Coturnix japonica: one gene and its partner. The protein of the gene in region 1 binds, or shares a complex with, the protein of each later gene. Links are inferred from orthologs where the notes say so. Each region holds a gene or a part of one and is shown on either strand. Other genes may lie near its edges.

Region 1 (8,862 bases):
TGGGTGGTGCAGGTGCCACCAAGGCAGTGGGTGCCATCAGGACTGGCCCAGGCACAGAAGGAAAGGATCCAGGGACTCTGTTGACATAATAAACCACTAGAGAGCACTCTCAAATGTATTTATACCCTTTTCCTAAGTGCTATTTCATAAAAACACGTGGTTGCCATGGCCTGGTTTACAGCACAGCTAAAAAAGGGAGTTCCAAAACAGGCCAGGTTTCCTGAGGCCACCACAAAGGCCATCAAAGCCACCATTATGCTGTGCCATTCCAGCGGGGCTCCGTGCCCCCCTCTGTGCTTTAACCTATCCACAATGACAGAAACAGGACTTAAAAAATTTAAATATTGCTCTTTGACAGCTGTAGCTTTTGGTTTTATGTATATTTTTATAAGTATATATAATGTGTGTGTGTGTGTGTGTATATATATATATATATATTTAAAAGCATAAGTGTTTAAAGCTCTCAGCTTCCTTGTATTTTATGCCAGAAGTGAAGAGGGGGGAAAAAGTGAAAATTACAATATTAGTTCAGTAGCTATAAATAAAAGTACCTTGTGTACAGGTGAATTGCCAGCAAAAAAGAAGAAAAAAGTATCCTTAAAAAAAAAAAAGCGGGTTCAAAAAAATAAATATAAATCACTCACTCTTAAGTAAAACATGTTTAATACTACACAAATTACAGTATCACCTTTTAAAAAGTTTAAAGAGTAAGGTAAGTAGCACTGTTGCAGCCAAAGCACTTAAAAAAAGGAAAGAAAAAAAGCCTGTAGCCCAGGAAATAGTGAAGTGTTGTAAATGGAGAATCCACTGGTGTTGTAACTCAGTAACACAGCAGAGAGGAAAAAAGCAACACTGAATTTGAGAAAAAACGAGATACAAGAATAAAACCCCTCAGATTTTAGCTTGTTTCCTTTTGCAATCTTGCAGCTTTATGGTGACCAGGCTTAGAGGGGCCTGCAGACCCACCACGTGGGCTCTGGTACCAGACCCTCCATCATCTCCTCCACCTCAGGGGCTGCAGGACCCTCCATCATCTCCTCCACCTCAGGGGCTGCAGGAGGCAGGGGGAGGAGGGTTTTGACTTCAGGACTGGCCATGCCTGTGTCAGCGGGCCGTAAGGAGGCCCTGTTTGTCAAAGCAGGCCCAGCCCTCACGCTAGGCCGCCATGTAACTTAGAAGGGGACCTCTGAAGGGATGTGTTGGTGTTTTCATTTTTGGTTTTAAAGTAGAAATACCACCTTAATCAAAAAAACATGAGCTCCACACCACAGAGGTATCATGCCAAGCAACTCTGAAGAACTTGTTACCATCTATCAGCTCAAAATCCATTTTTCTTTTTTTAATAAAGTGCCTAAATACACATTTACACAGATCATAGTGGTTCCAAAGAATCCTTTACAGTTTTTATATATATAGGAATATATATAGGTATATATATATAATGTGCGTTTTCTTCAAATTGGCTAAATGTGTTTACATAGGACACCAATCTTGACTATAGGTATAAGATTTAAAGCGTAATATCGAGTCAATGAATCTGTTTATCATGCAAGTCTTATCTAATATTACATTGACCTGTAATATGGAACACAATGTAGTGGGTGTGCTCATTAAACACTTCATAAAAAAAAAAAAAAAATTACTGTGCGTGTGCAGTTCTGATCTTCAAATACTAATAATGACCATTTCTTTAGAGAGAGAGAAAAAAAAAGTCTTCCAGAAAAGAGCTACTCTGCATTAAACTGCAGTCTGAACATTATCACAATAAGAACAGTTGACTCAAAAGCACCCAAAATTGTTCAAATTTACGTCAGCTGAACAGATTTCTCCTCTTCCTTGGGCACCAAGTGCTCATTAGCCCATCCCAGGGCTGGGACGACCTCGCCACCCCTTCGCTCAGAAACAACCTCTTATAACCCAGTTATAAACACCTCAACAGAAGGGCTCATCCAGCTGCAGCGTTGCCAACGAACTATAAACAGCACAAAAACATCACTATAAGACTCAACTATTTCTAGTAACCAATGATTTATTGATTTTAGAAGTCTGCTTGGTGATGCAGAAGCGTGATCAAAAGAAGTGGCTTTACAAAAGAGTTCTCCAAAGTAGCTTAAAAGTCAGGGCCATGGCAATTATGTGAAGCCCTAATTGCTTTCATTTCAACCAGTTTATGTTTTCATTTTCAAAGAATAGCAGTAGGTTTGTTTCAAGCACACGTAATAAGGAAATTGCAGGTTTCCTCCACCCACTTTTTGGGCTGTCGCTGATATGCCTGCAGGCAATCTGGCAGAGCCTCAGTTGCTGCTGTCATTGTACCACGCTGTACCTGCCACTACTTGGAAACACCGTGTCAGCGATAGTAACAAAAGCAACAGTACCGGAGGTGACTGATAAGCAAATTCAAAAGTCCACCTGCACTATCTGAAAATTAAAGTAAAATTAGAAAGGAAAAACAAAACAAAACAGCCTTTCTCCCACCTCCCCAGCACTGTCCAAAGACCAAAAAAAACCCCAATGCTGAAGGCCTTCAGAGACGGCAGTGCTACAGCGGTGCAGTCACCAATCATGTCATAAGGTTGGCTATCACAGTTCCACGTTAGAGTACGCAATTGGTCAACAGGCGTAGTTCTGTAATCTTACAACTGATCACGTGAACTGCGGTCAACTTTGCCTTAAAAAAAAAAAAAAAAAAAAACAAGAAGAAAAAAAAAAACCCCAACAGAAACAAACCAACCCAGAAATCCCTATAACTCAACAGCGCCTCTCCAACACCTCTCCACATCCTACTCCAAAGGCAACTTCCCTTGAGAAACACGGAGGAATTTTGGCCTGGGTCCGGCACGGCCACACGAGGCGGACAGCCGCTCCCGGGAGGAGCCCTTAGTGCTCCATGCGCCCGCCTGCCCCCAGCCCTACAGAAGCAGGGGGCAGCAATAAGGAAATCACAGACAGTAAGGCGATCTTTACAATGTCAGAAAGTGTATTTGGCATTAAAAAAAAAAAAAAGAGAGAGAAAAAAAAAAAAAGAAAAAAAAAAAGGAAAAGGAAACAAGTGCATACAAATACAGCTAGAAGCATTTCTCGTTTGCCAAGTGCTCTAAAAAAAGCAGCGCAAGTCACAGCCTACATCGAACAGTAATTGTCACCAGGGAAGCACAACAAATAGTTGCTATAACAAAAGGGGAGGGGGGAAAGCGGGGGGAGGGGAGTGGGGATGGGGGGGAAGGACGGGAGGAAAAAAAAAAAGAGAATTAGAAGAAATGCCTTTATAATAAGTACATACCTTTTGTCTTCAAAAAATATAGAAACACAATGTATTCAAAAAAATCAAAATTATACAGCCATGTTTATGAAGTCTACATTTCCCTTGTCTTGGAGATATATATATATTTATATATATATATTTATAGATATATACAGAACCGGAGCAGTTTGGGCGACGGGCGGCGCTGGGCCAGCACAGTCACGAGTCTCTCTCCTTTTTCACTTTCACATCCCCGGCCAGGATGGTGGCGATCTCCCCCTGCATGAAGGCCCAGGGCACGTTGGAGCCGACCAGGGGGCACTTCTCCCCGCTGGGGCAGTACACCTCTCCGCTGGCCCCCTGCTGCTTGATGCTCTGCCGGGAGCAAGGGAAGCAGAACTTGTGGGACGGGACGGAAGGGCACTGCACGAAGTGGGTGTCTTCCAGGCGCTCGTGGCACAGGGTACAGCACAAGGGGACGCTGGCGGCGAGGGACGAGTCCGGCAGGCTGGCGGGGTGCACGGGCTCCAGCCCGCCCGCCGCGCTGCCCCCCTGGCCCGGCACCTCCCTGCCGGCACCCAGCCTTCTTTGGTTCATGGCGGAGGGCGAGGGGGGGCTGCTGCTGTTCCTCCTGGTGGTGGAGTGGACCTGGTTGGCCTCCTTGGAGGCGTGGTTGCCCCCGGCATTGTCCGCCACCAAAATGAGCGCGGCCATGGGGGACTGGCCGTTCTGGGCCGCCTCGGGCGGCGTGGTCCGGTTGGAGTGGGGCGAGGCGGTGGGCGGCGGGGGCGACATGAAGGACGTGGCCGTCAGCGGCATCTTCATCCCTTCGGACGCGGCCGGCAGCCAGGGCTGCGCCTCCCCGTTGATCTTCGGGGGTCCCGCCTCGCCCTCCGGCTCGGGGGACGGCTTCCTCTTCCGGGCTGCGCGGGCCCCTGGAAAGGGAGGGAGAGAGTCAGAGGGGCGACAAGGCGGCCAAGCACCGCCACCGAAACGTGCCAGATCACCGTAACACGCGCACACACGCGGCCCCGTCCGCCCCGGCCCCGCACTCGCCCCCCTCCTCCCGCCCCGGTCCCGCTCCTCACCCGGCTTGGCCGCGGCCCCGTTGCTCTCGTATCCCAGCATCCTGCCGCCCGCCATGCCCGGCTCCTTCTTGAACTTGCTGTCGAAGGGCGGCACCGCGTGCCCGCCGTGCTGGTGCAGGGCCAGCAGCGTGTCCCGCACCGTCTTGGGCTTGGCCAGCCACTCCTCGCCGCCCGCCCGGCTCTTGCCGTCGTTGCCCATCTCTGCCGTGGCCGGCACGCTCTCCGCCGATCCGCGCTTCTCCTTGCTCCCTCCGTCGTGTTCCCCCGCCGCGCCGCCGCCGCCCGACGACGAGGACGAGACGGAGCCGGGCCGCTTGTGGCCCAGCTCTCCGGGCTGCCCCGCCGCCGCCTGCGCCGCCGCCGCCGGCTGCTGGGGCACGGGCACGGCCAGCGGGGCGGGCGCGGCCGAGATGGCGGCCAGCGAGGCGGCGGCGGCGGCGGCTCGGCCGCCCAGGCCTCCGATGGCGGCGGGGAGCCCGGCGCCGTTCACCAGCGGCACCAGAGTGGGCGGCACGGCGTGCGTCCGGCGCGGGTTGGGGCTCTGCCGGTTGAGCTCGGGCGGCTCCTCGGGCTTGGGGAAGCCGTTGGGCACCAGGATGCCGTTCACTTGCCGTCCGCCGCCGTACTCGGCGCCCAGGCGAGGCGGCGGCCGCTCGGCGGCCAGCGGGTGGCGCTCCTGGGGCTGCGGCGGGGGCGCTGCCGCCGCCGCCGCCGCCGCGGGGTGGCCGAGCTGCTGCTGCTGCGCCAGGAGCTCCTTGGCGGAGAGCGGCGGCTGCTTGGCGTGCGGCGGCGGCGGGGCCCGGCCCTCGGCGAAGCAGCCGTGCGCCCGCTTCAGCTGCCGCGCCGTGTCGATGACGAACTCCACGCGGTCGGCGCCCTCGTAGTTGACGCAGCCCCGGCACACGGGCTCGGTGAAGTCCCAGATCATGGCCCAGGGCATGCGGGGCAGGTCGCACAGGTAGCACGACTGCCTGCGGGAAGCAGCCGCCACCGCCGCCGACGACATGTCCCGGCCCCGGGGCGGCGGCGAGCGCCCCCCGCTCCGGCTCCGGCCGCCGCCTCCTCCTCCTCCGCCCCTCGCCACCGGACGGCCGACGGGGCGGCTCGGGCGCCGCGGGACCGTCGGCGCGGCCCCCTCCCCCTCGCCTTCCTCTTCCGCGCCCCGGCGAGCGGAGCCGCTCCGGGGGCCGCCGCTCCCTCGTCCGTCTCCGCCGGCGGCGCTCACAGCGCGGCGGGGACGCGCATCTTCGCGGCGCGCCTGGCGCAGGGCTGCGGCCGCTGCCGCCCGCACGGCTCCCCCGCTCGCTGGCTACTACGGGGCGGCGCGGCGGGGCGGGGCCGGGGCTGGGGCCGGGGCCGGGGCCGGGGCCGGGGCCGGGGCCGGGGCCGGGGCCGTGCCGCGTTCCAGCCGCCACCGCCGCCTCTGCGCGCCGCCGCCTCGATTCTTCGACAGTGCCGCCGCGCCTGCGCGATGGGCGCCCCCGCCCCAACAACGCCAACCACGCCGCCGCCGCGCTCCCGGCCCCGGCTCTGCCCGCGCCCCCGGCCCGGCCCCGGGGGTTCCGCCCGCCGCCGGGGGAGCCCAGCGCCGGCCACGCGGAGCGGAGCGGGCTGAGCGCGGCCCCGAGCCTCCCGCTCGGCACCGGCGGGGTCACCGCGTGCGGTGCGGGCTGAGCGCCGCGGGGTCGCTGAGCTCGGTCGCCCCCGACCCCCCCCCGGTGACCCTGGGGCTGCCCCCGTCCCCTACTGGGCCCGGGCGGGAGGGGCGTCGTGGGTAAATAAAACCATCGCCCGTATTGTTATTTTTTTCTTTATTTTTTTTTTTCTAACTGTTGTCACTGCACGCAGGAAATAGGACGCTCGAGATTTCCTGTCGTTTGCAACCACAAACCCTCCGCTCTCTAAGGCGGACGAGCACAACCCGCGCAGCTCAAGCACGGCACGGGCGTTCCGCTCCGTCCCCGCACAGCGGCACCGCGAGGGGCAACGTCCCCCTCGCCACGTCCCGCAGGCGGGCACGGCCCTCCCCGCCGCGTTATGTAGGTTACGGGGGAGGGAAGGGGGGGCGAGCAGGCAGCGGGGACACCCGGGGGAGCTGTGACGTTTGCGGGGCTCGGCGGGGCGGTGCCTGCGGCGCTCCCGGGGCTGCGGACCTGGGATGCGATTCAGGCACCGGGAGAGCCCCGAGCGGATCGTGCCCCACGGCCAGGCGGGGGTTAACGCGGCTCCGCAGCGCGGCCCTCCTTTCTCGTAGCATCAAAGCGCTGTAAGGCTGTTCCGTGCACCCCCTCCCGGCTGGAAAGTCGCTTTATCCCTGCATGCTAAGTAAACACATCTTGTTTTCGTCTTCCACCCACTGCCCTCTTTCTCCAGCCCGGAGATGGAGGCGTGCCAAGGCGGTTGCAGCGATTGCTGCCTCCACACTCATACACACACACATATACACACACACACATGCACAGCCGGGTTTGTCGGGTGAGGCAATGCGCCTGCAATTGGCAGGGACAAGGCAGGAATTGTAATTGCACTGCATCATGTGATGGCTTATGAAAGAGGAAGTTTGGATGTTTTAGTCACGTACTCCTTTGCCCTCTCGCTTTAGCCTCCAGGTTTTGCGAAGGAAAAAAAAAAATAAAAAAATAACTGCATATATTTATATACACTGGTGGGAAGCCAAGGAGCTGTGTGTTTGCACACTGCGCATGGGGAGCACAGCTCGGAGAGAGCCCGGCTGCAGGGAGGGAGAAAGCACAGCTTTCAGTGAGTGCAGGACGGGGAGTGTGACCCCTATTTATTTAACTTGGTTTCTGATCGAATCAGGCTGGTCAGAGCCACTATGGGCAGCATTTGGGTTCTGCTGCATTTGCATCTATTCTGGTAGAAGAGGCAGCTCTCTGGTAGAGAGCGTTGCAGCTCTCGGTGTCAAAAAGCAGATAAAAAATAGCGGCGTAGGAAATGTGATTTAAGAATCAAATCACACACACACACACACAAATCTGCAGAGCTGCCGTCATGCAGTCGCTGCACAAGAATAAAACAGATCGTGCGTTTGTTTCTCGTTCCTTTTTTTTTCTTTCTTAATATTTATTTATTTATTTATTTTGAAACAGAAACCATCCTTTTGTGCCTGCTTTCTGTGGAACACCCCGGCGATGACATGGCGAGGCTATATATATATATATATATATATATATATATAGGGGCTCTGCAGAAGCCTGTGGCCTGCGGGCATGCCCAGCCGGGGGGCCCTGCCACAGGGGAGCCCCATGCCATGGGGAGCCCTGACCCAGTGCCACAGTGCAGGGAAGGAAGGGAGAGGTGCAGTAGAGTCCTGCTCTCACATCAGTACTGGTCCCAAAGAAATATGTCTGTCCAACCATTTTGTGTTTAATATGGGAAGAAAGTACTGATGTACACAATGCTGCCATCAGGAGCAGCCTGTTGACGTACACAGACTTATAGACAATGCTACAAACACCAGCAGCCACTCCTAATTTTACCTACAGGACAATTGCTGGACAAGCAGCCATGCTCATGGTGCACAGCATACCGCCAACACTGCTCCCCAGTGCTGCTGACTGCAGAAATGCTGCCTTGTGACATGCAACTACTGCTGCTGGCAGAGGGACACTGATGGAGCAGCCTGTTGTCAGCATGTGTGTGTGTCCATGCACAGACAGGGGAGGTGGACGTGGTTATTTCATTTTTGTCATAGAAGTTTTGGGTGCATGAATACATGCAAGATCCAACTTGGGCTATTCTCTGATTCTCTGATTCCACGAGTAGTGGTGTGAGCAAAAGCATCAGTGCTGCAGCTTCTGCTGCTTTGGTGGGCTCTACCCCGGGCAATTTGGAGCCAAAATGGTGTGGTTTAAAAAAAAAAAAATAAGAAGGAAATGATTCTGTTTTTAACTGAGCACTTGACTTCACACCCTCGTTTCAAGTAGCAGTGGAAAAAAAAGACAGCAAGGAAAAGATGATGGAAATACTTGAGAAATTCAGAGGTTACTACACTCAGAAGGGAAATAAAAACTTCAGAGGGACGATTCCAGATGCCAGAAGAAAGGGCAATTGATGTGGAAAATCTTCCGCCTGCTCTCTTCAGCCTGGTAAATAGCTGTTGGACGCTCCCACCGACACCGTGTTGGCTGCCCTCTGCTACAAGCCACAATGGGCGATTGTCTGTGGGGTACAGGGGGACAGACCGGCTGGGAGCTGCCTGGGGTGTGTTAGCATGGCTGGGCAACCCTGGCCCAGCACCAACAGGAAGACCAGAAGGCCGTGACCCCATGGGCTCACCGTACTGCGGCTCAATGGGTGACCATGTTCTTCTGCCCATCGATGCAGTCATGTTATTTACATTTTCTGACATAACAGGAGCTAACAAAAGCACTCCCCAATCTGAGGAAACATAAAGTGCAGTGAAATTAGTTTCTGGCTGCCATCGCTGCCTCCTTCCCCATCCCCCCTTTGGGCAGCCAGCATGGGGACAAAGGTGCTGCTCTGTGCTCAGTCCCCAGCCTCACCTTT
Region 2 (8,291 bases), on another chromosome or scaffold:
GCCCTGGGGGGCTGGATCTGTCTTGTTACAAATAGTCTGCAGACCAGAACATCTATGTCATGACTGATAAGAAGGGGTCTGTGGAAGTCTGGCTTCCAGTGTCTGTCTCCCATCTGGATTCTCTGATATCTAAAAAAAGGGTGAGATAACAAGCTTTCCCTTGAGTCAGGGTGCTAATGGTTTCTTGTTGTTATCTGGCCCATTATTTTCATAGAACTGGTAGGAAGTTAAGAGTCTTGGCCCTTATTTATCCCTTATCCAAGGCTGACAAGCTGTTCAGAAGCTGTTAGGGGAGAACAAACACAAATGTACACATAGGCATACCATAGAGTTCCTGCAATCATACAAGCCTTATTTCTATAGAAAGCAGGGCAAAACTGTGTTTAAAAGTAGGAAAAGTTTCATATTCAACCTGTCCTTCCTTTTTTAATGTGTTGCTAACTTGCAAGCTTCAGGAGATGGAGGCAAAAACAGAAATGTCATCTTCTTAGGCAAACTCGAGTATTGTTCCCACTGCAATTTATTATTTTATACACAGTTTTGCCTTTGACTCATTATGCTGAATTACTTCCAGATGCATTTTTATAAAATATGTATGTAGGAATTTTTATCTTTGGGTCTGGGTGAATATTATGATGTTCTGTTGAATAGCCTCCAATGTTAGTCTCAAACGTTGATACACGGTCATGCTTCCCCGTGTGTTTAGTCTGTAATGGTCAGAGCATTTAAAAGGGCTTTGCAAAGCATAAGGAGGGGTGCTTTAATTTACTAGCGGTGGGAGACAGGGCCTTTGAAACATTTGTCCTTGTTCCAAATGCTTCTTGCAAAACTGTTCCTGGCTGTGTAAAAGCAACAATGATGCTTTTTTTTGACCTCGGCTAAAGGGTCTAAGCTCTTGGAATGCAGACAGAAGTCACCATCTAGGTCTGAAAGTCACTGTAATTGCTTGGGCTGTGACAACAGAGAGGGATGATCTGGTGACAGGAGAATCGCCCTGACATGAGCAAGTCCTGAGTTACCTCTTCAAAAGTCAATGCGAGAAATCTACATAAATAGAATAACTGAAAAAAGACATAAAAAGAATGACTGAAGAACTTCTGCTATCCCCTTACACTGTCTTAGTATCCTTGTGGATTTCAGCTTTCCTAACTTGTATCAGGGCCTACTAAACCATTACTAAGATAGCACAGAAGATGATTTCATGCCACCAACATGTCTTTGAACGCATCCTGAGACAGGATGAAGATCCTGGTTACCCTAGCTGGGGAGCCAGTCAGATGTGGTGTGCTGCTAGAATCTGTGCTGGGACAAGTCCATTTTAATATCTTCATCAGTGAGCAGAAAAAGTGGTGGAATGCACAGGGTGTGTTCGGTCTGGTGAAGAGATGGTTTTGGTAACCTCGTAGCAGGCTGTCCACATCTACAGCAGTGTTATTGAGAAGGTTGAGCAAGGCTATTTCATGGTGGTGCACAGTGAGAAGTAAAAGGCAGAAATTGAAGCAATAGAACTTGGTCCAACTGAATATAAGAAAATATGTCGCTTTTTTCACCACAGGATTTTTCAGAACCCTGACATTTGTAGGTTATTCTCGTGGTGTTTATAGTTTTATCTTGTTATACACAAAACCATATAGATATGGAGTCCTAAACCTGCCCTTGTGACTCTTCTGAGTACAGTTGCCTACTCTGTCAGGTGCTACCACTAAGTGGCAGGAAAGAGGATGACCATAACAGCTGCACAGGAGCACTTAGTTTAGCTCTTCTGAAATAACAACAAAAAAAGTAGCCGTAGGTATCAGCTGTCCTACATAAATCTGCTTTATTTCAAAAACACCTCTAGTTCCTTTCTGAGGTTACACAGGCAAATGATATTTCTGGCCTTTATGAGTTTCCTCATATTTCCATTGACGTCTATGAAATCCATTTTTTTTAGTACCAAGGCTGTTCTTGTCAACCTCATCTTGTTTGACGCTGATTCAAATAACCTCCTTGATTCAAATGACCTCTCTCACTTTCCATACTGCAGTGGCTAGCTTCCATGGCTTTTCCTAACTATAGTGCTCTCTCTTGCTCAGCATTTTGTTATGTATAAACATCAAGGATGGATTCCTTTTCATCTACATCACTATTTTCTGTTGCCACATGCTTCCTCATGTCAAGGAATATCTTTCCTGTCTCTTGTGTGGATTCCTCCTATTGACTGTCTCTGGGGCCATTTCTCCTTTTGTACGGATTACTTTCTGCCTCTCCTTCCCCTTTCCCTTCCTCCTAGTCCAGCTTAATTAGCCAACTTTATCACGTTGTCACATCTCTCTATACCTTCGCCAGTGAATGAGGAGCCCTGCAGAGTGTTAACTTCATAGCACTTCACAGTTAGATCCTCTGCCTTGCTGCGTGTTGTGACTGGGTCTCTGGAGTAGGCAAGGTGCCAGCTATGGAAGTTAACGTGTTTAGCAGCTGAGCTGCCTGCTTACTTATTTCAGCAGGACTTTGAGTGCAGTTTAGATCCTTGGGTCTGAAAGAACAACTGAGCCCATGAGTTTGTGGCCCTTTGCCTAAACCTGGTCCTTAGCTGAGCCTATGGGGAAGAGCAGGGAGTTGCCAGTCTTTCTGGAGACCTGTGTGGAGGTCATCTGGTCCTGCCACTTGCTCAAGTAGGGCCACCTAGAGCGCTCGAAAATACAGTGGGGCTCAGGCTCTTCTGCAAGCAAAGGCTGAGGCTGCAGGAGGGTGGCCATCCTCGTGGAGCTGCTGCCCTGTCCCCCAATGCAGAAGGGTGGCAGTGTGTCTCTGTTCTCTGTTTGGAGGTAGGAGGTGCTGGGGCTGCCCTGCTGTGGTGCAGGAGGTAATTGCATTTGTCTGTGCTGGAGTGGTGGGCAGAGGGATGAGATATAGAGCAGGGGGCAGGGCAAAACTGACATAAGAGCAAAGTGTAACAGCAGTAATAAAGTGCAAGAACTGATAACAAAGTCTTGAAGTGGCAAACTGAGATAACAGTTCATGAAACATACCACACTTATCTCCTCTAGGGTGGTGTTGTTGATGGTTTTGCAGGGACATAAAAATAAGGATTTGCAGAGGACTTTGCTCATAACTGGCCTCGAGCCACCAAGAGCAGGAAAAGGGAAGAGGGGGCATTCCCCACTGGCAGTAGTTTCTCTCTGCCCAGAAGTATGAGCAATAACACTGACCTGCTTCTTCCACCTCTGCTGCAGTCTATTCCAGAGTGTATCCAGATTAACCATGATAACCACATGAATTTACTCCATAGTTCCATGGTACTGTGTTGTCTGACCTTTAGATTACTTTACAGGGGATACATAGTTTACTATTCTTTTCTGATTGTTTGGCTTGACTATGTTTGCTTGTGCTTGCTTGAAGTGAATCATGCCTCTTGAGCTGGATTTTGCTACTGTAGATAACATTACTTGGGTTTCATTTTTGCCTCTGTTTTACTTGACAGAAAGTGAAACGACCGACAGCGTTCCAAGCGATGAAGAAAATGCAGAGGTAAGTGTTTTCTGCATTTTTGAATGCTTTGGAGCAAAATCTCCAAGTAGTGTCCTGTGGTATTCTTTCCACTTCTACATTTGCAACTGTCTGCTAGTGGAGCGTTCCTGTTTAATAGCTGAGGGAGAAAGAAAAAGTAGGAAGCTTCTGGGGAGACAAATGCTGGGATGATTTTCAAGCAGAACAGATATCTCTGCAAGTTCATTCCTCCTCATCTGTCGAAGCTACAAGGAGGTTGATTTTCATGAGATTATACTCTGTAGAGCCATCAGCAGTGCCAGCTAGTTTGTTAATATGGAGCAAACTATCGAACCTTGTCATGCATGTGTGTGCTTGTGTACGCTGCATTGACGTTGCAGCGTACACAAGCACACACATGCATGACAAGCACACAAGCACACACATGCACACACATGCACACACATGCATGACAAGCGTACACAAGCACACACATGGGTAGTGAGTATTTTATCTCAGCTGAAAACATCCTCGCTTTGTTCTCCTTAAATGGCATGTGAACTCGTACAATTGGAGGAAATGCTTACACGTGTGATAGAAATACAACTTGAATGTTTGAGGTGTGTGAGGCCAAAAGCTTTCCTGAGCGGGCAAGACTGAGTTAGCACACAGCAAGAGCTACCTTCTGTCTGCATGGTTATAATAGTGTTTATTCCTCTGCCTTGGACCAGAGGAATGTTCCTACTCCCATGAGCAGGTGGAAAATAAGGTATCTGTGAGAGTTCATGGCACAAGGAAGAGAGAAAAGTGTAGAAATGCCCCAACTACTGCACCAATGGTGGCTGAGGTGGGGGCTCCCCATCTCCCCATACCTAGTGAAAACCCTCCTTTGACAGGATGTGCCACTGCAGTATGTGTGATGGGGAAAGGACAGGATGCTTAATCCCTGTGATGAGTGGACATGCTACCAAGGGATTTTCCTGGCAGCTTTACCTCTGATGGCAGAGCTTTTGAGTCTCTGTGCCAGCTCTCCCCAGTAATGGAGGAGACTTCAGTTTGAAGCTCTTGAGGTTTAGGTCACCTATGTCGAATTTTGTCAATGGCATATTGTGTATAAGGTCTTTATTTTCCATCAGAGGAATAGGCAGCGTGTTTTGAGTGCTGGAGAGCCACCAGGGTTAGGATACAGGACTTATAAAGGGAGAACTGACAAAGAGCAAAGACATTCAAAGCCAGCTGCTGGTGACTCAGGCTTTTAGAGATGGGGCAACTCCTTTGCAGTTTGTGGATATTTCTGTCTTCATCTTACTGCTGGCAGTTTGCAAAGCGCATTCACTCACGCAGTCTTTCTTCGTTCTTCTTCCCCCTTCATAGGGACGACTTCATTGGCAGAAGAAAAACATTGAAGGCAAACAGTATCTCAGCAATCTGGGAATGCGGAACACTTCTCATATGCTTCCCAGCATGGCTACTTTTGTAGCCAACAAGCCTGACCTCCAGGTCACCATCAAAGAAGAAAGCTGCCCGCTGCCTTACAACAGCTCCTGGCCCCCTTTCCCAGACATCCCTCTGCCACAAGTAGTGTCCACAGCCTCCACGAGCAGCAGCCGGCCAGACCGCGAGACACGGGCTAGCGTCATCAAGAAGACGTCAGACATCACCCAGTCAAGAGTCAAGAGCTGCTAAGCCTTTGACAGTGTGTTTTTTAGCTTTGTTTTGTTTGGTTTTGTATTTTACGTTTCTCTAGGAGAGGTTCAACCCTTGACGCACATTAGACAAATCTAAGGTAAAGAAAGCCTTGGCAATATAAAACATTGCTGTGTCTGACTCCAGTGCCGGAGTGTTTTTAACTCAGGACTCCAGCCGTCAGTGTGTACATCTGAACCCAGGTGGACTTGCAAGGTTGCTACGTAGGAAAATAAAACAAGAACTTTGGCCCACTTGCAGGTTTCAGTGTTTCATAAGAGGACCAACTGACCACAAGGGAAGTGGTGCTGCTGCGCTTCTTGCTGTCAAGGCTGTGATGGAACTGAAAGCCTCAGAATGGAAGAGAAAATGTGAACTAGCTGGAATATTTTTAAATAAAAAAAAAAAAATTCTATTGTGAATATTGTACATAGTGCAGTACTAGCAACGTTGCAGTCTGCTTCTGCACCTTATTAAGAAAGCACTTACAAAAGGCCTTTTATTACCTTGCTCTACTTAATGGCACATTGAAGGTCCCTCCCCACCTGTATTCTTTTCCAAGGCTATTCTTGCTAACGTGTCTTTAAAGAATAGTGGAAAGGAAAGAAAGTTAAAACTTCCCATGTGGATTTCATACATTTTAAGACTGCTTTTCTCGTGTTTGTTTTCTAATCTGCTATGCTTGAATGCCGCGTGGTACAATAGGGAAAAAAGAAACTATTACAGAGATGTTATGCAAATTCCCAGATTTAAGAAAAAAAAGAAGAATACTCTAATTCTAACCAGAGCAAGCTTTTTTATTTTTTATACAGGGGAATATTTTATTCAAAATAAAATTCTAAAGTGAATATAATTTTTTTTAATCTTTTCTACAGCAAATTTATAATTTTAAGATTCAATCCTTGGTTATCAGCAGTTATTACATCCTTGTGGCACATTTGTTTTTGTTTTTTTTTAATTTTGTAAAGGTGAAATAGCTTTTATGAGCTCATGTAGCAATCAGATTATCCTGTGGATTGATAATAAATATGGTATATAGTTAAATTTTTAATAACCCTCTTGTTTGTCTCTCTTTTCTAATCTTTCAGAAGCCGCAGATGGTGTGGGTGTTTGATAGGTGGATATGAAGGCTCAGAGCGAACTATTAGCATGAGCCACCTTTACAGTTTCTGTAGCGCTCATCTGACAGAGTGGGAAGTGCTCTGCTCAAGACATCTTGAGGTGCAAAGAGGAACTAGTGCTTAATGGCAACCAGCTCAAGTTTGGCCTCACGTGCACAGGTTGGGAACTGCAGAACCTCTCCTGATGCTATTCCATGGTTTAGCTTTGAGGAAAGCATCTCATTGAAGGGAACTTCAGGGTGTTCATCTGCGGCCTCGTGTGGGCACAGCTGAGCTCGCCCCATTCCTGGTAGATAACTGTTTAGTTTGCTCTCAGTTTACTTGTTTCAGTAGCAGTTTCTTATTAGTAGAATGAATCAGAAGTCAAGTGAATACTCGAAGCAGACATTCTCCATCTGTTGCATGATGGCAAATTCTGATTTCTCTGGTTTGGGTGAATGGCTTGGGTTGGAAGGAAGTTCAAAGACCATCTAGTTCCAAGTCCCCCTGCTGCTGACAGGGTTGCCAACTGCTAGATCGAATCCCAGATCTGGCTACCCAGGGCCCATCCAAACTGGCCTTAAAGGCTTCCAGGGGCAGGACATTCACAGCCTTTTTGGGCAGTCTGTGCCAGCACATTACCACCGCATCTGTGAAAAACTTTCCATTGACATCTAATCTAAATCTCCCCTCAATCTGTATCTAATGAGAGGGTGTGTAGCAGCTTGCAGAATTGCATGGCGGTAGTAGACAAACCATGCCATTGATCCTGTGAACACAAGGTGATAGCCCAAAGTGTGATGTGTAGCTTCAAGTGTGGTTGTCTCAACTGCTGAGTACATATGGAGCGTTGTGTATATTTGTCTGATGAGGTAATAGGCACAAAATTGGCTGTATCAAAGGAAGATGTACGAACTGGCTATTTAATAGGCTCAGGTTCTGGCCAGTAGAATGTTCCTGTGTTCTTAATCTGATGCTGCAATTTCAAATTTCATCACAAGTCTGCATGAAACTTGCAATTTTATCTTACCAAACCAGTGACCTGGGAAGAGAGGGCTAAAGAGGGCTTGAGTTCTCCTCTGGGGAAGGTATCCTGTGGGAAAGGAAGGGCTGCAGTGCCTGGGCTGAGACTGAGTCTGCAGCAGGGCTTAGGGAAAGAAGCATCCCAGTTGCACAGGGCTGGAAAGCATCTTGTAATGTAAACTCAGAGCTGGTGCTCTCATTCTCCTCTCAGGAGTATTTAGTCTGTGGATGGAGAGGTTCTCCTGCCTCTGGCTCAGCCTGGGCTTAGCGCTAGAATTATAGCTGAAAGCCCAGAGATGCAGTGGTGTGAGGACAGGAAAACATCTCCCAGAGTAAACAGAGCTGACTCTGGGCTTTCGCTTTTCCAAAATCAAGACTTCTGTTTATACCAGTGGTGGCCTGCTCTCTCTCGGGTCAGATTGGCTGCATTACATGCTGGCATATCTCTGCAGGCCTCCAGGCAGTGTCAGTGCCCTATGCATTACACACCGAAAGCTGCAGTAGCTCATCATTTCTAGTTGTGTGTTAAGCTCCCTACCCCTCACCCTTGACGCTAACATAGTGTCTCGAAGGCTTTGTGCCTTTTAGCAATAGCTGCTGCTTGCAAAAGACCCTTTTTATTCCTGAGCTTTTGCCTTTCAGTGTGTCCTACATGGCTGTGAGTGAGAGTCTGGCTTCAACAAACTCCGCTGTGAGCTTGGGTAAGCAAGGAGCTCGTTACCAGAAGGCTGCCAGAGTTTTTCTAGGTAGATTAATGTTTGTTTCCAATGTAAACTCTCACGTGCAAGGATAAGGCTCTGCTGCTCTTCAGCCATCTGAAAAGTAGGACTAGTCGATGGAGAAAAACAGGCAACTCTGGTTCCTCTCAGAAGCAAGGAAGGCAGCTAAGCTCCAAAAACAGCAGCCCCCACCCTGCTTGAGCAGCTGCGCAACAGGAGATAGATGTGTGCTTGGGAAGGGCGTGCATACTTGCTAAATTTTCCTCTTGCCAGGCCTTAGGTGTTTGAAGCTCTT

Evidence for each region. The genes of interacting proteins can lie anywhere in the genome.
Region 2: the proteins of IRF2BP2 (region 1) and IRF2 are in contact, whole or in part, in a crystal structure (PDB 8YTG), measured with the Homo sapiens proteins. The link is inferred for Coturnix japonica from reciprocal best matches to the Homo sapiens genes IRF2BP2 and IRF2. Residues at the interface, in NP_892017.2 of Homo sapiens: His517, Phe518, Val519, Gln520, Pro522, Phe531, Leu557, Trp564, Ala565, Phe566, Met567, Glu570, Thr573, Ile574; in NP_002190.2 of Homo sapiens: Arg331, Ala332, Ser333, Val334, Ile335, Lys336.

The regions. Positions count from the first base shown.
Region 1 is NC_029518.1:34,497,607-34,506,468, reverse strand, and holds IRF2BP2 (interferon regulatory factor 2-binding protein 2), read right to left. Parts: upstream 5,650-8,862; 5' UTR 5,339-5,649; coding exon 4,333-5,338; intron 4,180-4,332; coding exon 3,464-4,179; 3' UTR 647-3,463; downstream 1-646. UniProt on the Homo sapiens protein: Acts as a transcriptional corepressor in a IRF2-dependent manner; this repression is not mediated by histone deacetylase activities. Represses the NFAT1-dependent transactivation of NFAT-responsive promoters.
Region 2 is NC_029519.1:35,013,487-35,021,777, forward strand, and holds the end of IRF2 (interferon regulatory factor 2), read left to right. Parts: intron 1-3,463; coding exon 3,464-3,510; intron 3,511-4,842; coding exon 4,843-5,154; 3' UTR 5,155-6,208; downstream 6,209-8,291. UniProt on the Homo sapiens protein: Specifically binds to the upstream regulatory region of type I IFN and IFN-inducible MHC class I genes (the interferon consensus sequence (ICS)) and represses those genes. Also acts as an activator for several genes including H4 and IL7.